Struthio camelus: one gene and its partner. The protein of the gene in region 2 interacts with the protein of the main gene of each other region in a pairwise test. Links are inferred from orthologs where the notes say so. Each region holds a gene or a part of one and is shown on either strand. Other genes may lie near its edges.

Evidence for each region. The genes of interacting proteins can lie anywhere in the genome.
Region 1: the proteins of TOP3B (region 2) and SPRED2 interact in binary tests that used the Homo sapiens proteins (3 or more experiments, as listed by UniProt). The link is inferred for Struthio camelus from reciprocal best matches to the Homo sapiens genes TOP3B and SPRED2.

Annotation. Positions count from the first base shown.
Region 1 is NC_090944.1:141,409,887-141,418,301, reverse strand, and holds the start of SPRED2 (sprouty-related, EVH1 domain-containing protein 2), read left to right. Parts: upstream 1-5,171; 5' UTR 5,172-5,329; coding exon 5,330-5,376; intron 5,377-8,415. UniProt on the Homo sapiens protein: Negatively regulates Ras signaling pathways and downstream activation of MAP kinases. Recruits and translocates NF1 to the cell membrane, thereby enabling NF1-dependent hydrolysis of active GTP-bound Ras to inactive GDP-bound Ras.
Region 2 is NC_090958.1:10,355,961-10,363,579, forward strand, and holds the start of TOP3B (DNA topoisomerase 3-beta-1), read left to right. Parts: upstream 1-4,239; 5' UTR 4,240-4,333; intron 4,334-4,750; 5' UTR 4,751-4,861; coding exon 4,862-4,931; intron 4,932-5,669; coding exon 5,670-5,801; intron 5,802-6,830; coding exon 6,831-6,937; intron 6,938-7,619. UniProt on the Homo sapiens protein: Releases the supercoiling and torsional tension of DNA introduced during the DNA replication and transcription by transiently cleaving and rejoining one strand of the DNA duplex.

The DNA.
Region 1 (8,415 bases), on a different chromosome or scaffold from region 2:
TCTTTATATCAAAAGGAAGTTATGCACACAAAGGAAACACCAAACCATCGTGTCAGGAGGGCTATAAATCACTTTCTGTTGAATATTAAGGGGACGTCGGAGAGCCCAATAGGAAAACAAAGGTTTTGAGAAGTCCCCTTTTCCTTGCAATCACTTGATTTCAAGAAACCCCGCTTTTGTTCTGGGAGAAGGTAAAAGAGCACACATGGTTTCGTGAATGTAGCAACTAACGAAACTAGGTTTCTCCCAGCTCGTGACTCACGGCTGCCAGCAAGCGCTAGTCAATGCCTCCCCTGCTGCTGGCTCGTTGCTATTGCCCAGCGGATCCGGCGGCGTCCAGAAAGGGCCGAGCTCCTGCTCCACCTCTTCTTTCAGTTAGAAGCACCGAGTCGCTCCTCTAACCAGCCAGTTAACTTCATTCGAGCCGGTGAGCGCTCAGTTATTTCCGAGATCCCTGCTCTCCTTCCCCGTGCTTCCCCTCCACTCCTTCCCCTCGGGCCTCCAGCCTCGAGGTTTCAGAAACGGCACAAAGAGGGTGCGTGCCTGCAGCAGCAAAAAGATCACGTTCGCTTTGCTGTTGGGGCAATGAAGGGCGGTTTCTGTCCAGTAATAAAACACGTCGCAATAAAAAATGAGAAACCTAGAAAACAGTGGGACAGCCAGATCTTGGGCAAAGCAGCCTGTTTGGCAATGAGGGTCCCTTTCTGCTTTCCTCTTCTGGTCTTGCAGTCCGTAAAAGACTGTCCCAGTAAGACTGTGAGGATCACTCTAGTTCCTCTTCCCTGGCAGGTGACAGAAACACTTGTGACAATTCTCCAAACCACATAGCGAAATCCCACTGCTGCTGAAAAAGGCTTTGTATTTCCAGACTCCGTGACCTACAGAAACGTCTCAAAGCTGAAAGCTTTCAACCTGGCTGAAAATGTTTCAGATCATTTCTGTAGCTCTTAAATTCCGAGCGATTAGAATGGGGAAAAACACGGCTGTTATCACTGCTTTTAAAATATGATTGCTGCTCGAAAGAATTACGGGGGGTGGAGGGTAATTGTCTGGAGGACAGAGTGATTCAGGACTACTGACTTCCACTCCTCGCTCATTCAAAGTCGCAGAGTGAGTCAGTGGAAAAGTCATTTAAACTAGCACATTGAACATGGTACCGATATTCATATTTAGATTCCTAACTCAACAGCACGGAAGGTTTCAGCTCAAAAGTGCATTATTTAAAGGCGAGTGTATGTGAAGGTAATAGGTGACACTGGAAGTCTGCAATAAACGCCATACTAAACTTTGCTCCTTCAAATACCATCGCTTTTCAGCTAAAATCAGCTAACGCTCTAACAGCACTTGGCGAGGTCCATTTTCAGGCCAAACACAAAACAACGTCCATACACCAGGTTCTCTGCAACAGTCGAAATACAAACAGTAAATTTTCCTTTCAAACCCAAAATGCAGAATACTCCTAGCACGCAAATCATTAGTATGCAGGAGCTGCTGTCTTGAAGCACTGCCACCAATGGCTAATTAATTCTAGGTACTGTAACGATCACATCACAGGGAAAACACCACTCTGCGCGTAAGCAGGAACTCTGTATACAAACACTGGAATCCACAAGCAGAAATTGCACCTCTGAGAGCCTTTTCATTCAGCAAAGTCACTCCTTTTTGAAGAGCTACTCACAAGAACCCACCCGTGTGGTAACTGCAATATTAGAAAAAACAAATTCAGTATTTATCCGCTGTAAAGGCATATACACAATAGTAACAGGGTTGCACGGTGACAGAAATCATTCCAAGAACATATATCTTAGCAACTTCCAAATTAACATGACAGTGAGAGCAGAGATCAGATGTGAGATCCTGCAAATCCAGAGGCTTAAGCAACTAGATCTAGCAAAACTTCCGCTTCAAAGCCTCGGACACTTTTGCATCTAACCATTGTGGCAAATACATATACATGCCCATACAAAATGCATAAAAAGTCACTCAGGTCACAAAGTCAAGCTTGCAAGCATTAATAAACGCTGTAAAAAGACAGCCTGGGTACCCCGGTCCTCCTCAGCTGCATACGCGTTACGATAGCCTTTTAATTACATGATTGCATGCTAGTTTGGTTTTTCCACATGGCCATAACTCCTGGCTTATTCTGGTTCTGCGGTAGCTCACTACTAAAAACCATACTCACCACTTCACTCACATCTGTGCTCTTGTTGAACACAGATTTTTGTCAAAAAAAAGTTAGAAGCCTGTGTAATCTCAGCATCATTTGGGGAGGGGGGAAGGGGATAGGTGGAAGAGTGTCAGATCATTACATCTGGGCTTTTATGGTGTAACAGCTTAAGAAGTTCCTGCTATTTCCTTGCCCCCGACCGTTTCTTCCTGCCTCGACACTTCCTTTCAGTGCCAGCGCAGTTTTGCCAAGATGCTTATCATGCCATTCTGAAAACCGGATCCCCGAATAACTTTCCAAAATCAAGGGGCATTAGGGGGTTATTATTAGCCTGGCCCATTGAACAGAGCCAATCAATAGCATAACTCCGCAGAGGGATGCTTTAGCACAACTAAGCGGGCGTCAAACCGGGCTTTGCGTGGGAATGACTGGATGAGAAGGGGGCCGGAGACAGGCAGCTTTGCCACCCCGACGAGCGCGCCGCAGGCTGCTGCCGGGAGGAAAGCAAGCTCACGCTCTCAAGCGTTATACAGCGCTAGCAGTAACGGAAAGCAATGCTGCTAGTGTCACAGGCTGAACCTCTAGCAATTAAAAATACATGACTTTAATATCATAATGTGACCAAAGCTGTGGATTCTGATACCATCTCCAAAGGACGCTCTGCTTCCCTTTGGGTGTAAGCAGCACATAAAGAAGACCTCAAAGCTTTAAGTGACTTTTGCCTCCAGGAATGGATGCCAGCAAGTTACTAGCAGGCCACGAGTTTCTTCCAACTTTCCACTTCTGATCCTGAAAAGAGAATTTAGACCATTTAGGATCTGAAACCAACAGAGCAGAAACGCACAGACCCTTTCCACCGGCCGCCCTGCCGAATCCAAGCACTCCTTTAAAACTAAGGCCAGCAGACTAGATTTGAAAGGTAAATTGGTAGCTGCCTTCCTCCACGTGGAGGCCAAATACCCCCCTGCACGGCGATCCCAGCGCCTTTGCTCAGACAGGACATCTCCCACGCGCCATCAGCAGAGATCCTGCAGCCGAGGAGCTCATGGATGCCAGAAGGGAGAGGCAACATGTTTGGGTGGGACAGAGACTTCTTTTCCTGGGATCGCTCCGTTCATCGGAGCTGATGAAGAAAGCAAAACCAAAACTTACATCTAGTCACTCACCTTCACGGCCAAACCTTCTTTCCAAGAGTTGGGCAGTGATAAAAAACATTGACTTATCGGGCTTGCGCTCGCTGCCGCATCCCACCACCCCACCAAGACAAGGGGTTGCGGAACCGCGTGTAGGTCGTGAAACTATGCCTTGAAACCCAGAAGAAAGAGAGAAAAGCGCTGCTTACCTAAGGAAAGGCATAGAGGACGCACTCTGGCCACCTGGGCAGGACAAGCCGTTCAACACCTTCGGCTTTGGACGTTTCTGCAAACGGAGGTGCCTGGCAACAGAGGATCACCTCATCGCTCTCCTCCCTTTCTTCTCCTACCCACAGCAACTCGGGCAGACCTCAGTGCCCAGTTTGCAGTGCAGCTGGGCACCTCCAAAAGAAACACTGAGAAGGATCAGAACGACGGTGCTCAAGGAGATGCTTTTTCCTCCAGCACGGGCACAAAATCTTACACGAGTGTAACGTCCGCTCCTCCCCCCTTCTCAAGCAACGACACTGACTTCTCAGAAACTCTTCTTCTGCTATGGTTACGCTATTAAAAAAAAAATCTTCCTGCACATATTGCATAGTGTTACTAACCTGCAGAAAAGTAGATCCTTACTCAGGGCGTCCTCCTATGGCTATGAGCTAAGTGGAGCACCTACTGCTGCGAGCAGCCCCATCGACAGGAGCATGTCTTGCTGCAGAGCGAGCAGGATCAGGCTTACTTATTACACAAGGTGAAGTATTCATTCTGCGCCCTTTAAAGTATACAGCAATCATGACTTATTTCCCCATGTGAAAGTATTTTACAGCGTGCCTTCAGGGAAAGTACTTTATGGATACCCACATACAATAGAGTTATGACAGCAAGCGGGGAGAGAAATAGTCCAGAAAAGCCAGCCTGCTGCTTCAGCTGGAAGTAAAGCACAAGCGCACTGCGGCGTGCCGGCAGGACACCTTGGCGTTGCGCCGGCAGGACACCTTGGCGTTGCCTCGAGCCAGGCCCCGGGGTTCGCCGGCCTGACGAAACGCAGCGCTGGGCGCGGGAAGCCGGGCAGCTCTCGCCTCTGCTCCGCGGGGCACCTGCAGGCGCCTCATCGCCTGCGACGCCCAGACATTAGCAATGACCACGCTAAGTAGCGCCAGGCCGGACGCGAGCGCGTCACCTTGGCCGCTCGTGCTGGGCTGAACCGAGCCGAGTCGGACCGAACCGAGCCGAGTCGGGCCGAGCTGAGCAGAGCGAAAACGAGCTGAGTAGGGCCGGGCTGAACGGAGGAGCCAAGTCAGGCCGAGCCGAGCCAGGCCAAACTGAGCCGAACCAGTCGGGGCTGAGCTGAGCTGCACCAAGACGGGCCAAACCAAGCTGAGTCGGGCTGAGCCGAGCTCAACCGAACGGAGCCGAGCCGAGCCGAGCCGAGGCGGGCGGCGGCCGCGCCCCGGGCGCTGCGCTGCGCTGCGCCGCGCTGCGCCGCGGGGGCCGGGGGGGCCGGGCCGGGCCGGGCCGCGCCGCCGCGGGGGAGGCGCCACTCGCGGGCGCGTCCCCTCCTTCCTCGCCGCCGCCGCGGCTCGCTGCCTGCCCGGCTCCCGGCGCTGCCCTGCCCGCTCCCGGCGGCCGCTCGGCAGCGCCGCCGCCGCTTCCAGCCGGGGCCGGGGCCGGGGCCGCCGCCGCCCGCGGCGCCCGGCCATGGCGTGAGCGCGGCCATGGCGCTGGCCCGGCGCCGCCGCCTGCCGCCGGGCGCCGCGCCGCTCCCCCGGGCCCGCGCCCCGGGCCGCCGCCGCCGCCGCGCCCCGCCGCGCCCCCGCGGCGCGCTGACCGCCGCCTCTCCTCCCCCTGCCGCCGCCTCTTCCTCCTCCTCCTCCTCGGCCCGGCGACGAGCGAGGCCGTAGCACCCCCCGCCGCCGCCGCCGCCGCCGCACACGCTCCCGCGCCGTCGGGCCCGGCGCGGCCGCGGCCTCCCCCGCCATGTGAAGCGCAGGAAGATGCGGAGGCGCAGCCCGGCCGCCCGCGGCGAGGGATGAGCCTAGACGGGGAGAAGATGACCGAGGACGCCTACCCGGACGAGTGAGCGGGGCGCCGCGGGCGGGCGGGGAGGCGGGGCGGGGGGGGGCACCGCCGGGGGGCCCCTTTGTTGCCCCGGCGGGGAGGCCGCCGCGGCCCCCCCGGGCACTCGCGCACACACACACACACACACACACACACACACACGCACGTCCGTGTGTGTGCGCTGCAGCCCGCACATCCGCCATTTCGCTCGCTCTCTCCCTCTCTTCCCCCCCCCTCCGCACCGGTCTCATTTGCATACCGCATTTTCATTCATAAAAAACCCCCGAGAGCACTAAGCCCGGTGGGGCTGCCCCGGGGGCGGCTTTTCGCGTCGCCGCCTGCCGTGCGGCGGCGGCGGAAGGGGCGGAGGGGCCCCGGGGCCCCCCTCGGGGCCTGGCCGCACGGCTGCCCGCCGGCCCGGCCCGGCCCGGCCCGCTCGCCGAGCCGGCGGGGCTGCCCGCCCTCCCCTCCTCTCCGCCGGAGGGGGGGGGCGGCGGCGCTGGCAGTGGCGCGGGGCCCCGCCGCGGCCGCCGCCGTTTTGTGAATAGGAGGGCGGCCGCGGCCGTCACGTGACGCCGCATTCATAAATCCGGTCACCGGCGGCGCCCCATTCACTGCCCCCCGCCCGGCCCGGCGGTAACGGCGGCCCCGCTTCTCTCGCGTGTATATCTGTGTACATGGATTTACATATATACCGACATATATGTGTACCTATATACACACATGCATGCCTATATATATTTTTATATTTGGCCTCCGCTGTGCTGCTCGTACTCCCTCCCCCCCCCCCCAGTGTCACACTGACTGCGGTGTGTGACCGGTTGCTTGGGCTTTTCCGAGCAACGGGCTTGGATGTGACAGCGTGTTGAACTAGGGCGCGTGTTATCTTTTGTGCAAGTCCGGGGCCTAGCAATGCCTCTGCAGAGCGAGCTAGGCGCTTGTGAGGTGCACCGGGCACTGCGTGCGTGAGTTTGGGAGCATCTTCTGGCGTGATGCTTGCGTTTTATTAATGCAGGGGTAAAGCCGGAACAGAATCTCTCCCAGGTGGCACGGCTTCTTTCCATAAATGCTGTCCGGTTTGGCCTGGCCGCAGTTGACACAGCTAGGGAATAGACGAACGTTCCTGGATCTCCCTGCACGTAAATCCTCTTGAGATGCTGTGTCTGAGGTTGCAAAATGACTGACGGTGCTTTTTCCCAAAATGAAATTAAGAAAGATGTTAGTACAGAATTACAGGAACAAATTTAAAGATGTACTCACCAAAACATTGTTTCTGGCTATCTCTTTTTGGTTTGACAGTCAGAAAAATGACTCACTGCATACAAGACTGGTTTAATGCCAAATACCATAGGATGTACCATGCTTTAAACTGACTTCTCTCAGGGCTTACAAAGCATTCTAAACGTTGTGCAACTTCCATTCTGTTTTAGAGTCAAAATTTAATTGGCAGCGTGTGCTGTGCTGTACCTTAATAACATAAAACTAATTTTAACATGATTTACTATAGAAAAGTTAGTGGCAAAGGAAATGGCTTCTGACTACAGCACATGTATTAAGGGGAATTGTATTTTTGGCACTTCTTAATGAAGAGACTATAAATATATGTTATATGTAGCTTCTGAAGTTGTGGTTATTTTGAAGTCAGTACGGTTCTTCCAAAAAAACAAAAATTCGGTTTCTCTTACAGATTGCCATGACCTAGTCGGCTGGAAAATGTGGCAAACTTGTTTCCAATAAAAACCGTACAGTTCTTGGTCTGGTTCTTGGTTTCATTTCTCAAATTGGAGAATGGAGAGAGGAGGAGAGGTGGGTTCATATATAGTCTTAGGAGTGCAGAACCAAACCTAATTTCCTCACTTCAGTGGACAAAGGCTGGTAGTCTCGATGTATACCTGTATGTTCACATCCAAGTGTGGGGACAGTGAGGACTGGCGGAGGTAGCTCTGAACGTATTTTCCTGGGGGACTTGGTGCAACGATGAGCGAGCACTGGTGTAAACCACCGTAGTGGCACACGGAGAGGTCTTGGCTCTGGCTTTTTTTTTTCATTGTAGGCTGCAGTTTGTTTTGGAATAAATTCTTCCTCCACGCGCTCCCGTTGCTCCCATGCTGAAGAGCAGGAGGCTTCATCTAATTGGTTTAATGTACTTCCTCTTTGACTTGGGGAGGGAGGATCTAATGTCATGCTGCCTTTCCTGTGGTCACTGTTGAACTGAACGAAGTTGTGTTTTGGTCATTGCTGAAGCAGAGGACTGCAAGGAAGTTTTGTGGGAGATTGGGAGCGCTGGGAGCTCCTGGAAACTGGTCCTGAACCACCTTCCCAGTCGAGCATTACTATTTTCTTGGCTGCTGGAGCTGTTGACTTTCAGGGCAAATGAAGCGCAGAGGTGGTCGTTACCCGTCCCGAGCCACTGTTTCTAAGACTAATAACATCCTTGCTGTTGAAACGTTGTGCTGGTTGCAGCACAATTCAGGCCTTTATGTTGCAGGGCATAGTTAGGTATTTTGGGTAAGCCATGGTTTCCTTTGTAAGTTCTTCACTTCCAAGCTTGCATTGATTGATAGTGTTGCTGAAGCTAGTGACTCATACGTTGTTTTTCATTTCGGTGGTGGGTGAAGTGATTTTTTTCAATATATATGGTGTTAAAAGAAATAAGGACAGGCTCTCCTGATAAGTTTTCTCAAGCTGTCAGAACAATGCTAGTATAGCATGCTATTTGCCCTAGATATCTGGCTTTAATTTGCATAGCTATTCTCATTTCACTGAGAGCACTGTGAGCAAATGTTAACAGCCAGATTACAAAAAAGGACCACTGACAGGATGCATTTTAAAATGACCTTCTCTGAGTAAATTAAAGGTGTGCGGGGGGGTGGATTTTCTTGCTGTTTTTGGCATTTTTCCTCTCCACCAGCTCTGTAACATTTTGAATTTGAAACAATTTGCAAAAGCAAGAAGGAAAAATGGGGCTTAGGATGCTGGAAACTCATTGGTTCCTTAATGACTGCACCATGTAAGATCAATACTTAGAGGTCAATTTGTCATTGCGAAGAGAGCGCC
Region 2 (7,619 bases):
TCATGGGAGCAAGTTCCCAGATTAGGGCCCTGGGCTGTAGAGCCCCTGCCCCCAGCCTGACTCGGATGGGAGCTGGGGACATGGAGCCAGGAATGCTTGTCAGCTCAAATTACTGGCTAAAGGCGGCATTTCCTATTGACATAAAAGCAACCAGAGTGAATACAAGGGCACAAAAAGGGGGGTTGGGGAGGTTGAGGGTTTTTTTTGGTTTTGTTTAACTTGTCATCTGGGTCTGTTCAGTGTTGTCCCTGGAGAGAGTGACAGGGCAAGTCAGAGGCTGAGGGCCTTCTGCCATGGTGATGGAAGCCGTACAAGCTGAGGAGAGATGGAGAGGTCTGGTAACCAGCCAGGAGGGCTGAGCACTGAGGAGAGAACCAGAAATCCCATTTTTATTCTGATTTGGGATTTGACCCTTAATTGGCAATAATTTGTAAGCCCTCCCCCCCCCCCCATTTAGTGTGTAGGCCAGCTCTGTTGCACACTCATGTCCATTTCAGTAGCATGTGTCTTCTCAGGGTCCTTGGAAGGAAGCAAGACCTGCTCACAACTTGTAGAGCTCCCTGGCTGGTACTAGATATGCCGTTGGCTTTAATGGTCTGGTGACCTTCCAAACCATATTAGAAAAGTTGGACACTCCATAGCTCCTAGGCTGTGGCAGTTAGATGTTACAGAAACCTTCTAGAAACCAGTGTCTGTCCTGTTTGTGTTGGGAGACTCAACTGGCCAGGAACAGAGGCTGCAGCACAAAGACCACAGTCAGGTTTCAGGGATGTGGTGGAGGACCCAAGAGCACAAGACCTGTGTAGGTGGCCTCTGCCACTGCAGGGTGGCTCTGCTGTCTTCCTCCCACTGCAGGGACCATTCACATCAAACGTGCACAGAGGAGACCATGGAGACGTAGCTTTTGCTTCTAGGGAACACAAGAGTTTGTTACGCAAGCCTCGGACTTCATACTGCACATGGGCAGATCTGTGGCGTAGTCCTAGATACGGCAAAGCCTTCAAACAAGCAGCCAAGCAGGAAGGGTAACAGGAAGGCCAAGATGTCCCACCTCACTCTCACTATATCAGGATGGCAGCACCAGGCTCTGTGATCCTCTGTAGCTGTGGGAGTGATGCAGCTCCACTCTGGAAGAGTATGAGTGAGGCGAATGAGATCCTGCAAACGACTTTCCAAAACTGTCTTGTTCTGGTTGGGGATGCTTCAGGGGGACAAGTGTGACCTGATGCCCCAACGTACTCAATGGGTTAGGTCAAGGAGGGCTGTTGTACATGGCCTTTACTGGCCTGTATGGAAACCAGTGCTTCCTTCAGGTCAGGAAAATCCTTGTGTGGCCCAATAAACCAGCTAGACTAGCTTATGTGCCACCAAAAAGGCACACAGGGACTCCAGCTGCACACAGTCTCTCTGCCATGTATCCAAGAGGCCTGACTGCCCTTTCACAGGTGGGTCAGAGTGTGCATGTTGCATTGCACATTAGAAAAGAAAAGAAACGTTGTTGGATATTGTGGAGGGTTTTTAGTAGAGGAAATTGAAAAATATGTATGTGACATATCTGAAGACTTGGTTTGAACTTGCATCCTGATTATTCCAGATGTTCCCCAGATGTCAAAGGGAACCAGTCATTGAAACAGAAGAACACATTTGTTTTAACAAGTTCTAACTTCAGAATTGCCAAAGAATAAAAAGTCCTGAGTTTGTTTTGATTTTTTCTTTCACCAGTAACTTTAGTATCTATTGTCTACTAGTCTAATTGAGGGTGAATTTGTTCCGTTTTGTTCTAGATGGTGTGATGACGATACACATTCTATTCCTGGCTGCTTACCAATCTCTTCTCTCTGGGTTTGCATGGTATCCGAGCAACTCTTGGAAAGAAGAGCTATAAATATTGGGAACAAGAGATGTACACCACAGGGGTAAAACTAGGGAGCGGCTCTCCTGCACAAAGGGTTTATAAAACTGGTCTACTTGGGGCTTCACCCTTCAGCAAGTCACTTGACTGAAACATTTCAGGGCACGTAGAAGAGTGAGAGGTCATAGCAGAGGTCTGAAGCTGCTCTGATCTGCTGGTAAAACCTGCCTTAGTGGGGCCCACCATCCTTGAGGGGTGGCAGCGAGGGCAGAGGGCCTCTACTGCCCCTGCGTGGCGTGGGAAAAGGGTCCAGACCTGGAGAGGAGCAAGAGCTGGCTCAGGGCACCCTTTGGCCCCAAACTGGGGGAAATGAGGGGTGAATGGTGTGCTTCTGCCTGGGCCTTCCTCCTTTCCTTTCCCCTCCTTCCTCTCTCTCTTTCTCTCTGTTTGTTCTAAAGGAGCAATCAACATTCAACAAAAATTTAACATGAGAGAAGACATTTTTCAAGAATTTGTGATATAAATCCAAGATTTTTCAGAAATCAGGACTGTTTCTGTCACATCATCTGGGTGCAAGGAAATCAGGTGGCTCCTAACAGTCCTAGGACACATTTCTTTGCATTGAAGGAGCTGCTGTTAGTGACAGAGACTATTTATACTGTGAGTTTGAGTGTACGGAAACCAGAAAATGAATTATGGACTCTGTACAGTTGCACTGGTTTAACTTACGTTGCTTGAATAAAGCAGATACAGCTTTTGGACATGGATTTTTCTTGCAGGGGTTTGATTATATTTGTTTTGTTTGTACCTTTGATAACAACCAAATTTAAAGTGAGAGGAGAAATCAGTGCATAGCTGGACTGATCTAAGGGAGTGAGTACAAAATTGCTTTTTGGTTCCAGTGGAAGAACTTTGTGCATGGACTGGGAGAAGGAAACAGCGGTGGTAAATTTTTCTGGTGCTTTGGTGTCCAGTAAATATCTAATATCAATTCCCTATTGTGAGCTTATCCATTTCCTATTCCTATTGGGAATTGCATTCGCATGCTTATTGTGAGGATCACCAAAGCATTTAGAAACATTCCTGTTAAATCTGTTAGTGGAATCTAGTTTACTTGTGCAAGAAGACAGGACGAGGATCAAGGATGGGAGGTGCGCGCACGTGTGTATACCTGCCCTCTCCTGGGCAGAGGCGGAGGTGCCCAGGAGCTCTCCTGTATGGCGCTCTCCTTTTGAAGTCAGTAATTTTCGTTCATTATGACTGAAATTAATGTTTTGAGAGACAAAATACTAGCTATCTTCTCTGCTGTATTCAATTCCCCTGCAAGGGGCTTACAACAAGGATAGAGGCACGGGCTGCTGTGGCAAAGGTGGTTGCAAGGCACCCATAAATAGACTGGATTTGATTTATCAAACCAGGTTTGATTATTTACAGTTTTTCAGGTGAGGCCAACAGCAAGGAGCAGAGCCTTTGTAGCTCTCTATTTCCCTCACGGAGATCCCACACTTTGTCTCGCGCTCATTTTGCAGCAGCATGTAAAGCGTTTTTTATGCCGTGCAAAAAGCACGACAACGAAGGACGAGGCTGCGACTACTCCTGGCGCTCTAGCTCCTGATGAGGCGCATTAAGAGTTATTAACCAGCACGGCCGGGGTGGCTGGCAGGGCTGCTCGCATTCGGTCAGGGAGACGCAGGTAAAGCCACGTAGCTTGCCCGAGGCCATTCTGACCGGACTTGGAGAGGAAACGTCGACGCGGACCGTCGTGCTGGGGACGGGGACGTTTCGGCCAGGCCAGGTGGTGGCCACAGCAGCCTCCTGCTGCTGGAAGAGGCAGGTTGCCACCGCAGCGAGACCTGAAGGAGGTGAGGCCTGGCCCTCCGGCGCCGGCGAAGCCAGCGGCACGAACGCAAACGCGGCGACGCCGAGACCCCGCCAGCACCGGGGCCGATTTATGGCAAAGCCCGCAGCCCTCCCCCACAACCCCCTCACAGGCGCCCTCCCGTCCCACCCCCTTCACACCCTCCTCGCACCCTCTCACACACACCCCCCTTCAACCCCCCTCACACACCCCCACAGCCCCTTCACATCCCTCACCCACGCACCCTCCTCACACCCCCCCACCCCTTCACACACGCTCCTCCCTGCCCTCCGCGCTCCTTCTCACTCCCACCGCCCCCACACCCCATGTACCCCCTCACGCACACGCCAAAGCCCCATACACACCCCATTTACCCCTACACACACCCCTCGTAACCCCCTCACACCCCATACACCCCCCATTTCCACCCAGCCCGCCCCTCGCGCCGCCAGGGGGCGCCGGGGAAGGGGCGGGGGGAGCCGCGCGGTTCCCGCCGAGGGGGCGGGGAGCGCCGCGCCCGCCCTTTCCCGCTTCCCCCCGGGGCGGCGCCGGCCACCTCCCCCTCCGCGCCTTCCGGCTCCGTGACCCGGCAGTGCAAGCGGAGGCGATGGCCGCCCGCTGAGGTTGTGGCGCGGCGGGGACGGGAGCGGCGGCGGCCGGGACGGAGCGGGGGGGAGGGGGGGGCGGAGTCGCCGCCCCGCACTTCACCTCGGTGAGGCCGGGCCGCTTCCCGCCGCCGCCTCCCCGCGGGGGACTCGAACCCGCGGCCCCTGAGGGGCGGCCGCGCCCGGCGGCGGGAAGCGGAGCGGGGCCGGCGCGGCCCGGGGGCGGCTGCCCCGCGGGGCCCCTTGAGGCGCGCGGGCCCCGGCCGCTGCTCAGGGCGGTGGCGCCGCCGGTCGCCCCGGGGCGGCCCCTGCCCCCTGCGGGGCCGTTAGGAGCTGCGAAATCTGCCCTTGCGCCGAGTTTTGGCAGCGCTCCTAGGGTTTTTTCCCCTAGAGGTGGTTTTGTAGTACACGCTGTTCTGTGCTTTCTCTCCCTAGAGTGAGAATTAACCCCGTGAGAGCAGGTTTTCGTCCCTGAGCTGAGCGCTGCGGCCTCCAGCAAACCCAGATCGCACCGTCGAGCTCTGTGGCGCGTCTCCTCGGCTGAAAATGAAGACCGTGCTGATGGTTGCAGAGAAACCTTCCCTGGCTCAGTCCATCGCCAAGATCCTCTCGCGGGGTAGGGACGAGAGCGTGTTGGTTTCGGCCCTACTGCTTGTCGTCCGGCCGGTCTAAGTCCTCTAGGACTCCCAGGCTTTACTGAGGAAATGCGTGTAGGTTGAGTAGGGACATGATGCAAAGGCTTCCCCGTGGTGAAATGAGGTGGGAAACCCCCTGGACAGCTGCTTTCTTGTCTTTGGAGCAGCTGTCACTGAGAGCACTGTGGTAGGACGGGTTCCAGTCCATAAAGTACCTGGATGGCATTCCACGTTTTGTTTGGTTTTGTTTTGTTTTTTTTTTTGTCTGCTAACACCTGTTCAATCCCAGGGTAAATGAGCCTGCTTTTATTTAGTGTAGCGGCAGTGTGCATTAGTGCGTACGGTTTCTGGAAAGCGCCGGTTAAGTAGCAAGTTGTTGTTCTGAGATTTTTGAAATATCTTATAAGTCATGGAAAACAGAATGAGTATAGTTGTACTGATCCAGAAAAGAAGAAGTCTTTTCATAAGAATTTCCTGGTGGGAAGAAAAACACAGAGGAGATCCTGGATAATTTCAACTGGAAATGAAATATGCTAAGAAAGGCCCAAAGTGATAACTGGCTGGAGAAGAACTTGGTTGAAGAGTGGAAGCCTGTGATCAGGAAGACCGTACCTGTGAGATCTAGAAAAAAGGGGGGAGGTAGCTGATTTCAGAAGAGGTAATGCCTCTTTCTTTGAATAGTTTTTTTTAGCCTGTTGATATTTATGTTCTTCTCACAGGAAACATGTCCTCTCGCAAAGGACTGAATGGTGCGTGTTCTGTGCATGAGTACGCTGGATCATTTGTAGGACAGAGCGCCCATTTCAAGATGACATCTGTGTGTGGTCACGTGATGACTTTGGATTTCATAGGTGTGTGTCTGTTCATAACCTTTTTTAACTGATATGGCTTGCAAAACTGTCTTGGGACTTCTAGTGGGAAAATGCTGATTGTGAAAATGACTCAGAGAGTTAGCATTAGAGCGGAAATGGGGATGAAAGGGTCACTAATGGTCAGCAGTTCTGATTTTTCTTTCTAGTTCTGTAGCTGACTTCTTGTATCACCTTAGGCAGAACGCTTATCTTTTCTGTGCCTCAGTGATGTTACCAGAAAATAAGGGGATATGAAGCTCAGTGTGCCAGCCTGTAAAAATGTTTTGGTGTTCTTGAAGGAAAGATAATTAAGGAATGCAGAGTCTAAAGGGAGACTGTCTAATACATCGTAGTGTATTTTGGTAAAGTGGAGATATGGTAAGGGTCATGTGCAAGGGTTCTGGTCACTAACTTGCTTTGAAATATTGGACTAGCCATGTGACTATTTCCTCTCATGCTAACTACCTCACAAGTTTGATGAGGACTAATTCTTGAGTTGTTTACACAGTACGTTAGAGAGGTACGGTGTCATGTAGTTGCTAAGTAATATTACTAACAGTTAGTTCAGAGATACAGAAATGAACAAATGCACCGATACTACAAGATGACACAGGATGCTCCATGATAGACATTTATTTGCAGGGCTGAGACATAACTGGCCATATGTAATGAACAGTAGAACAGACTATAACGTGTACATTTTATGTGCATGGTGAAAACAAGGAAAAAGCTCCTTCCTTTGGCCATGTCAGTTGGTTGTACTAACAGAAGATATTTTAACAGCTCGTGTTATCATTTCTGAAAGGTGTCTAGTATTTTTTTTCCCCCTTCATGTGTCATGTTTCAAAGTAATAGCTGCAATTCACATAAAGAGCTAAAGACTTAAAGCAAGACACGTTAGAGTAGAAAGGTTTCCATGACAGATTTTGAAAACCAGCTGTTTTGCAAAGTTTTATACATATGTATATGTGTGTGTGTGTGAGTGTATATTTAATTTAGAACTCTAGCTAATATACTTCTATTTTTCAGGAAAATATAACAGCTGGGACAAAGTAGATCCAGCAGAACTTTTTAGCAAAGCCCCTACAGAAAAGAAAGAAGCTAATCCCAAACTGACCATGGTGAAATTTTTACAGGTACTCTCTCTTATGAGATACATTCCATCTTCAGGGATTCATTGGCTCTATTCTTCTTCTGTTGGACACAAAACAATGAGATCCATTTTTATCTTGCCAAGAAAAATAAGTGAAGTTATTCTGTGGTTGTGGAAAGCAACACAAATTACTAATAAATTTGAAAGAACAGTATAGCATGTTGCTATGAGTTAGCCTTGCTTTTTTAAATTTTTTGCTTATGGTTACCTAGCACTATTTCAGAAACAGAAGCGTACTCATCTCCAGGCTCTTAGAGTAAGTCAGTTAGCTTCCCTTTACAATAAGGAATTGAGTCTGTCTTCACCACAGATAAGTTTCCTTTTGGAAGGTAATACCAGAGGAGTCTGTGTCCTTTAAAACGTTTGTTACATATCTTCCCTCTAAGAAGGCAGGAAGGCTATCTGCATGAACTGTTGTTTCTCACATTGCACATTGTTAAATGTTTGATTCAGTAGATGTCTTTTCCCACTTCCCAAAAGTGGACAGTGTCTGGCAATATGCCATACAATATGCTAGAGTCCTGTCTAGATTCAGAGAAATGAGTACATTAAGGGTTTGCTTCCCTGGAGGAAGCAGCCTTTTGGCAAGATTAGATATATGTTTGTTAATTTAATTGGTTCTTAAGCTGTTTCAAATCTTTGCCTCGTTGAATTGACTTTTGTCT